Drosophila melanogaster: one gene and its partner. The protein of the gene in region 2 interacts with the protein of the main gene of each other region in a pairwise test. Each region holds a gene or a part of one and is shown on either strand. Other genes may lie near its edges.

Evidence for each region. The genes of interacting proteins can lie anywhere in the genome.
Region 1: the proteins of Pig1 (region 2) and CG14143 interact in a two-hybrid assay, tested with the Drosophila melanogaster proteins (one large-scale study listed by BioGRID).

The regions. Positions count from the first base shown.
Region 1 is NT_037436.4:11,132,264-11,137,197, forward strand, and holds CG14143 (uncharacterized protein), read left to right. Parts: upstream 1-2,723; 5' UTR 2,724-2,733; coding exon 2,734-3,078; 3' UTR 3,079-3,217; downstream 3,218-4,934. Other genes in the region: NaPi-III (Na[+]-dependent inorganic phosphate cotransporter type III), read left to right, coding at 385-761, 832-1,334, 1,404-1,737; CG32074 (uncharacterized protein), read right to left, coding at 1-57.
Region 2 is NC_004354.4:3,248,100-3,251,022, reverse strand, and holds Pig1 (Pre-intermoult gene 1), read left to right. Parts: upstream 1-1,733; 5' UTR 1,734-1,789; coding exon 1,790-2,308; 3' UTR 2,309-2,423; downstream 2,424-2,923. Other genes in the region: Sgs4 (salivary gland secretion 4), read right to left, coding at 46-909.

The sequences.
Region 1 (4,934 bases), on a different chromosome or scaffold from region 2:
CCAGGCAGTCGAAACGAAAGCCGCGATGGCAAGGAAGATAGTTGGCTGCGAACGCATCTCTAATGGATTCTTTAGGTGTTGAATCTAATGTGCTCTTGTTTAGCTGAAGCCTAAGTATTTATAGGGAAATTAGTGGAAGAGGTTTTCTTTGTTTGCGTAAGCTAACAGTTTATTTGTGCGTGCTAAGTCGCAATTCACCATGTGGAAGTTTTTTGGATCTAGGTTATTTATACAAAGGTTGTAGCTAATTTGTATTGGTTTTTCATAAAAAAAATTAGAAACCTTATTCCATATGCGACTTAAACTTTAACCAAATAATGGGGCCTTTGTTCTTCCAACAAATGTTTGGCTAATAACAATATAAATTTTGAATTCTTCTTCCAGAATCTTCCCCGTCGGGAAGTCCCAAGAAGCAGCGTCGTCCCCTGTCGCTGGTTAGCGAAGGAAAGCCACTGCCTGCCATCGCAGAAATAACCGAGCTGGTCTCGTTGAGCGACAACTCGCCGAGGACCTTTAAGTTGGCTCCATTCGGATTGGCGGCCAAGAACAACAATGCGCTTGGGGAGGAGTACAAGATCGATCCGCAGCTGATCAAAAAGGCTGAGGATCTGCTGGGCAAGGCTAGCCTGGACAACACGGATCTGACGATTACCAGTCTGAATTTTATCGACGAGCAGCAGCAACAACAGCAGCAGCAGCAAAATGGACGCAAGTTGCAGGAGTGCTTCAAGCGGATGCAGTCGCCCAAGGAGGAGCAGAAGGTACTACCTGTTTAGTGCTAGCTAGCTAATTCGATTGCTTTGCCTAATCTTCGATTCTTTCCACTTACAGAGCAAGACGAACTCCATTGGCACGGACTTGGAAACCGGATCGACCAAAGCCACAAATAACAACCTTCAAGTGGTGGAGAGCGGCGGCAGCCTTGATCTTATGATCAGTTCCACTTTATCGCCCAATTCCAGCAAGGTTCCTCTGATCGAGAGCAAGGAGGCGCTGAATGAGCAGGAGGAGGAGCTGAAACGAACGACGGGCGGTGGACGAAGAACCAGTGGCGCCGAGGAGACTCCGGAGATTTCAATGCTCTTCTCGTTTCTGCAGATCCTGACAGCCACATTTGGCAGTTTTGCGCACGGCGGCAATGATGTGAGCAACGCCATCGGCCCACTGATTGCCCTCTATATGATCTATCGCGAGGGATCGGTTATGCAGCAGGCCGAGAGTCCCATCTATATTCTGATCTACGGCGGCATCGGCATCTCTGTGGGTCTCTGGCTGTGGGGACGACGAGTCATCGAGACCATTGGCAATGACCTTACGAAAATAACCTCATCGACGTGAGTATTCAGTTCCTAATTTCCCTTATCCTTTCACAAATAGAACATTCACTTTCAACTATTTTTCAGTGGCTTTACTATTGAAGTCGGAGCTGCCATCACCGTACTGCTGGCCAGCAAAATTGGCCTGCCCATTTCGACTACTCACTGCAAGGTCGGTTCGGTGGTTTTTGTGGGTCATGTGAGTGCATCAGGTCGCAAGAAGAAGAGTCAGCCGAATGATCAGACCGATAAGGAGACCCATAACGAAGTTGCGCCCATGGATGATGGCAGTGTCGATTGGCATCTATTCCGGAATATTGCCTATGCATGGATCGTAACGGTGCCGGTTACGGCGCTCCTCAGCGCCGGAATGATGTACGTGCTGTGTGCCATCGCCGTGGACGACATGGGTGGGGCCTAAAGATGGAACAGAGATTGCCATTCAATTATTAATTGTAATTGCAAAACCAAAATAATGTTTCGTAATTGTACAAGTTGGAAAACACAAAACTTAAATATTAAACACGCAAAAGGAAACTCAAGAAAAAGTGGTAAAATCTTAACTAAATTACTCGCCTAACTAAAGCATTGTATTTAGCTCATAGAACGTCTCTGAGTCTAACTGATATTAATATTATTTAATATGTGTGTACGCCAAGCAAAGCCGTGATTTGATTTTATATCTATACACCTCGATTTGATTAGTTTATACCCGAACTTCACATTACTTAAAATGCATTTGAGACTCATTTGTAAAGTTAGTCCCAACCACTCAAGTTATTTTACACCAATTAATAGATCAGAGCAAAACATTTGAATAAAATACAAACTATGTGCAACAGAAAATGTTTATACGTTGTGGTAAGACCAATTTTTATTTTATATTATCTTTTTTTTTCGTGTCAATTTAAATTGCCGTCTTTATTTACAATTCGTACACTTGGTTCCAAGTTCGGTTCGTAACAATTCAAAACCTTATGTATAAGGCTCTCCAGTCCGATTTAAATTTACATTCCATTGAGAGTCAGTTCGTAAAGTATTTCACTATGTAGTTATACGGAAAATAAATACGAAGTTATGACACAAAAAAAAATCTTTTATTTCAATACTTTGGCTACCCACCCAACTTACATCCGTTTCTCTAAGAAATTAGTATTTTAAAAATAAATGAATGGCGTATAATTAAGTGAGCCTCTGTATAAATAGCCTAATTATACATTGCGAAAATGTGGTATTGATCTCTGTTTAAGCAACCCAAATTTACTAAAACATCACATTCCGATTCGATTTAAAACGACTGTTTGCTGTTTGCTTAGGGAAAACATATATGAGATCTTCCTCTTGATTTGGCTATATATACGCCAGCTTCGCCCAGAAAGAAGCACATCAGTCATAGCAGTCTAAAACATTGTTCAAGATGCGATCCCAGCTAACTATCTTCCTTGCCATCGCGGCTTTCGTTTCGACTGCCTGGGCACTGACTTCTCCCGCCACGGTCACTGTTTCATCGGTCACTGTTTCATCGGTCACTATTCCATCGGTCACTATTCCTTCGGTCACTATTCCGACCACTGATACAGACACGTCCACCACTTCGCCTTCGGCAACCGGAAGCAGCACCACCGTGACTCCCACCACCAAGAAACCAAAGAAGAAGGCTACCGTTGTCCACTACAAGAAGAAGACCCACAAGTCGAACCGACGCCGCAAGTTCCGCCACTCACGTGATGGAAAGAGGAAGAACCGATCGAGTTGGGAATAAGAAGGACATCTCGTTTGGAACACCGCAGACCCTGAAGATCTACATGAACGACCCACACGCACCTTGTTAATCCTAATGTTACTTTACTCTTATTAAGTTCGCAATATTTAAATAAAAACATATTTAAAATTTTTTGTTTAATTATTGGGTTTTGTTTTTTACAAACTATGCTTTCAAAAACTAAACAAGCATTAATTCCATATAAATACCATGCAGAAAACGATATAAAGCTAACTGATGGACTTATACTTAGAGGATTACTTAGTAATATGTGGAGTAGACTAATAGTTATGGTTCAATAGTTATTCTTGATTATTGTCATAAGTTTGCACTTTTGCAAAATGGCTTTTGAGAACTATATGCACATGTTTAACGTGGCGGATGAGTAATATTATTTCTTAGTACTTGTATATTTGGAATTAAACATTTTTTAGTCCACATACCATTGGGTCGGTGAAAGTCTGAAAAACACAACACTTAAGTAAATATTTAACTTTAAGATTGTTGTTAAAGATAAAACATAGTATTTCGGCTTATAGCTCGCTATAACTTCGGGCCAGAAAGATGTCAACTTTTTGGCTTAATCGAAATGGTCAAGAAAGCCCAACAAAAGTTTTGTTCCATGTGAAAAAGCTTTGGTGGGAAAGCTTTTGAGCGCGTGGCGCTCGAAGAAAACGGTAGCCGCAACTTGGAATCAGTTGAGTTTTAAGCTTCGATGCGTTCGGTTCGCTATTCCCGATACGGCGTGATTCTAAACAAAACAAAAAAAAAACCCGGTTTGGTTCACTCTAAACTCGTAACGATCCCAAAAATTCGACATTCGGAGTGCTAAGTGCTCGGATTTTTGAACCAAAACATAATTGTGAGAATTGAGAAACTTGCTTAGTGTCATTTTTGGATTTACACATTCGGATTTGTACTGAACACACATTTCTGGCGATTAAAAGGTAATGGTTTTGACTTTACTGACCTATCTATCCAACTATTCTATATCTATATTGTAATAACTGGGTGGGCGTGCAACTTCCGTTCAATATCCGGCCCACCTTTCTATTTGCCACTTTTCTATGAACACCACTTGCAGTTCAATGGATTTCCACTAGTACAAGTATTACTTAATTTCTTTGCTTAATCCGATTTGCGTGCATTGAACTTTTCATCTGGGGGTTTTTTTTTCCCTGTTGATGTTGTAGTCGCTGTTATTGTTTTTTATCTTTCGTTTTTTTTTTTGTGTTAGACTTTATTTTGCACCAACTTCTTGTGGTTGATTGTTTTTTTTTTTTTTTTGTTTCTCCATCTCAGTCTGGCGAGCCGAACGGCTTGTTCTCATTTTATTTAATGAGTTCCCCGGTATTTGAGCCTTTGTTTTGCATTGTTCGAAACCCTGTTTATTCAATAGGTTTAAAACGTTTCAGCCATTCAAGCCAAAGCGAAATTATTAGCAAGTGTATTTGACTTTAATGCGGCATTCTGAATGAAATGTTTGGTAGCCAAATTGTGTGTATTTAGGTTTTTGTAGTTTCTACACAGCACAATTGATTGTTTTCAATCCACTAAATGTCACGGCAATAATTTTGTAATATTTTAAATAGAAGTTGGAAACCTTTCAATAGTAGCAATATTTTTTGTTGTATTTTTTCTTATTTCTTGTAATAGAGTTATCATAGTGAACCAAAGATGTACTAAGTAATAGCTTTCTTCCGTTGGAATTCCCTGCTGACCACACAATATTATTAACTCTTTTAGCAAAATTAGAAACCAGTTAAACTCCAGCCAATCGTAGATCGATGTCAAATTTCTTAGCCCAGCATGTGCGACCCATTTAGGTTGGTCCATCAGCCACCTGCTCGATCTCC
Region 2 (2,923 bases):
AGTGATTTTATTCATATTCAACGACATTTGAGTCAAGTTTGCTGTTTAGCAACCACCTTTTTGTGGCTGAGTCTTCCGCGGTTTCTTGGTGGTGTTCTTCTTGCCTGAATCACACGCCTTTGGCTTTGGCTTAGATGTGGCTTTCGATGCGGCTTTCGGTTTCGGGTCGGATTTACACTTGGGTGCAGGCTTGCACGAAGCTTGAGACTTCGATTTGGAATCGGGGCACTTCGGTGTTAGCAGGTCCTTCAAAATACATCCGCTTCCTCCACCGCCCGATTCGTTTTTCGATCCACAGCCACATCCCGATTCTGGTGTCGTTCCTGGACGGTTATGATGATGTACTATCTTTTTGGTGGATTTCGATCGCTTGGTTCTTTTTGTGCGGTGTCGCTTGATGCGTTTCGTGCAGTGCTTTTCACTGGGTGGCTCAGTTTTGCATGTGGGTGGCTCAGTTCTGCATGTGGGTGGCTCAGCTTTGCATGTGGGTGGCTCAGTTCTGCATGTGGGTGGCTCAGTTTTGCATGTGGGTGGCTCAGTTCTGCATGTGGGTGGCTCAGTTCTGCATGTGGGTGGCTCAGTTTTGCATGTGGGTGGCTCAGTTCTGCATGTGGGTGGCTCAGTTTTGCATGTGGCTGGCTCAGTTCTGCATGTGGGTGGCTCAGTTTTGCATGTGGGTGGCTCAGTTCTGCATGTGGGTGGCTCAGTTTTGCATGTGGGTGGCTCAGTTTTGCATGTGGGTGGCGTGGTTTCGCATCTTGGTGGTTCGGTTTCGCATCTTGGCGGTTCGGTTTCGCATCTCGGTGGTTCGGTTTCGCATCTCGGTGGTTCAGTTTTACAGCATGTAGAACCTGACGGGGCAAGTGCAGCCAGCCCCACCAATAACACAACCAACAACTCCAAGCGCATCTTGACTTTGGAATTCAATACCGCGTGATGCGCTTTATATACCCACTGCATTTTGCCATCGACACATCGAACAATTTAAGATACACTCAACAAAAAAATAACAATTTCTACGGTTTAAAATGAAGAAACTAAAAGTAAGCGATATACAAATATAATTCAGCTAAGGGTATGCTGAATCATGATAAACTTGTTGAAATTGTTTGCGCATTGTAATTAAAGCCCATTTGTTTAATGATTTTAATATTAAATTCAATATATATGGAATCAAAAATTATTATTAATATGTTCGTGAAGTGTAGGACAGTGCGGGTGCCTCGAACTTGTCTTTCACAAATATTTACAGAATAGAAAGGTATGTTTTCCATTTTTGGACCGGCGGGTTGGCTTAAACCAACTTATCTCGAGCACCAGCTTTAGTTTACTTAACCGCAGCTGTTGCAGTCTTCCATATTGATCGTGGTTTTGTTTATTATTTTGTTTATTATTTATTTATTTTTTTTTGACTGAATCGAGTTGTGGAAAAATTGCGTGTACTAGTTGTGTGAGCAAATCAAATAGTTTTGCTCAAATCGTTTACTAAGGTAAACAAATTTTATTACTTGTGGCGATGGTTAGACATAGACAAGACTCAACTAGGATCATTCCAGTTACCCTGTCATTTGCCAATTAGATACACATTTTTCCAACCAATTGCCGTCATCGCGGAGACCAATCACCAGCTCTATTGTTTTCAACCATTTTTTTTTTGTTCTGAGAGATTTGATATTTGACTTAATTTTGGCCTTCGCTTGGGTAAATAAAACGTGGTCTGGAGCTTTTACTATAAATTGCGACATAGCATTATCGGATCCCTCAGAGTCAAATAGAATATAGTGTCGAAATGAAGTTGACAAAGTTATGGTTGCTTTTTGTGTGCCTGGGGCTTTTCGTTACCCTGGTTGTGAGTGCCGATACGGACTCGGATGCCGATTCGGATTCATCCGCCGATTCGGATTCATCCGCCGATTCCGATGAGAATACAACCGCATCCGGATCGATAGTAACCTCAACCACGGAGTCCAGTGCCACGAACAGTTCCGGTTCCTCAGATGATGCTTCTGGCAGTAGTTCCGATGTGGACGATGGTTCCGATGATGATACTGATTCTGGATCCGATACGGATTATGATACACCTACTACAGCTCCAGTTGTTAAAAAGAGGGCCAATAGGAAGAAGGCTAACAATAACAAGAAGAGAGCTAGCAACAATAGGAAGAAGGCCAACAATAACAACAACAACAAGAAGAGGGCCAACAGCAACAACAATCGCAAAAGGAGGGCGTCCAACAACAACAATAAAAAGAAGGCATCCAACAACAACAACAGGCGCAGGAACAACAATTCCAGGAGGCGTGGTTAGAGCGAAAATGGTTGAAACAACAACTACATGTGGACTATATGCATAATAAATATTTTTTTTGTTCATGATTCAATAATTGATTGGTGCATTGGTCTGATTCGAAAACACACACACGAAAAACACTGTATTTTTTTTTTGGTGATCGAAAAAATTCCGAGGAAACCCCATTCGGTTGAAATTAACAAATGCAATCTGCATGACCAATTCGTGTGGGTAAACACGAAAAATTTGAGACAAAAAATGCTGATGACTATTTAAAGACTATGCTCTCACATATTAAAGAGATACATACATTTGAAGTGTAACAATACAGGCATTATTTCCAATGGACAAGCACTTTTCAACAAAAGCAGACATAACAAAACCAAAACAAATATGTGTTACACTCTAAACGAGAACAATAGGTGCCCATCGACGAGCTTCAATTTGAAATCACAAAATATTATGGACACAATGCACATTGAATGTGCTGCAAACTAGGCAACAATATTTTTACAACAATGTGCTGTGTGTAGTGGTGTGGTGTGGTGTGCGTTGGTGTGCGTTGGTGTGGAGGAAAATGCCTGTCAAAATCTCAACAGGTGTCGATGACTTATCGATGGCTGGCTTTCAAGC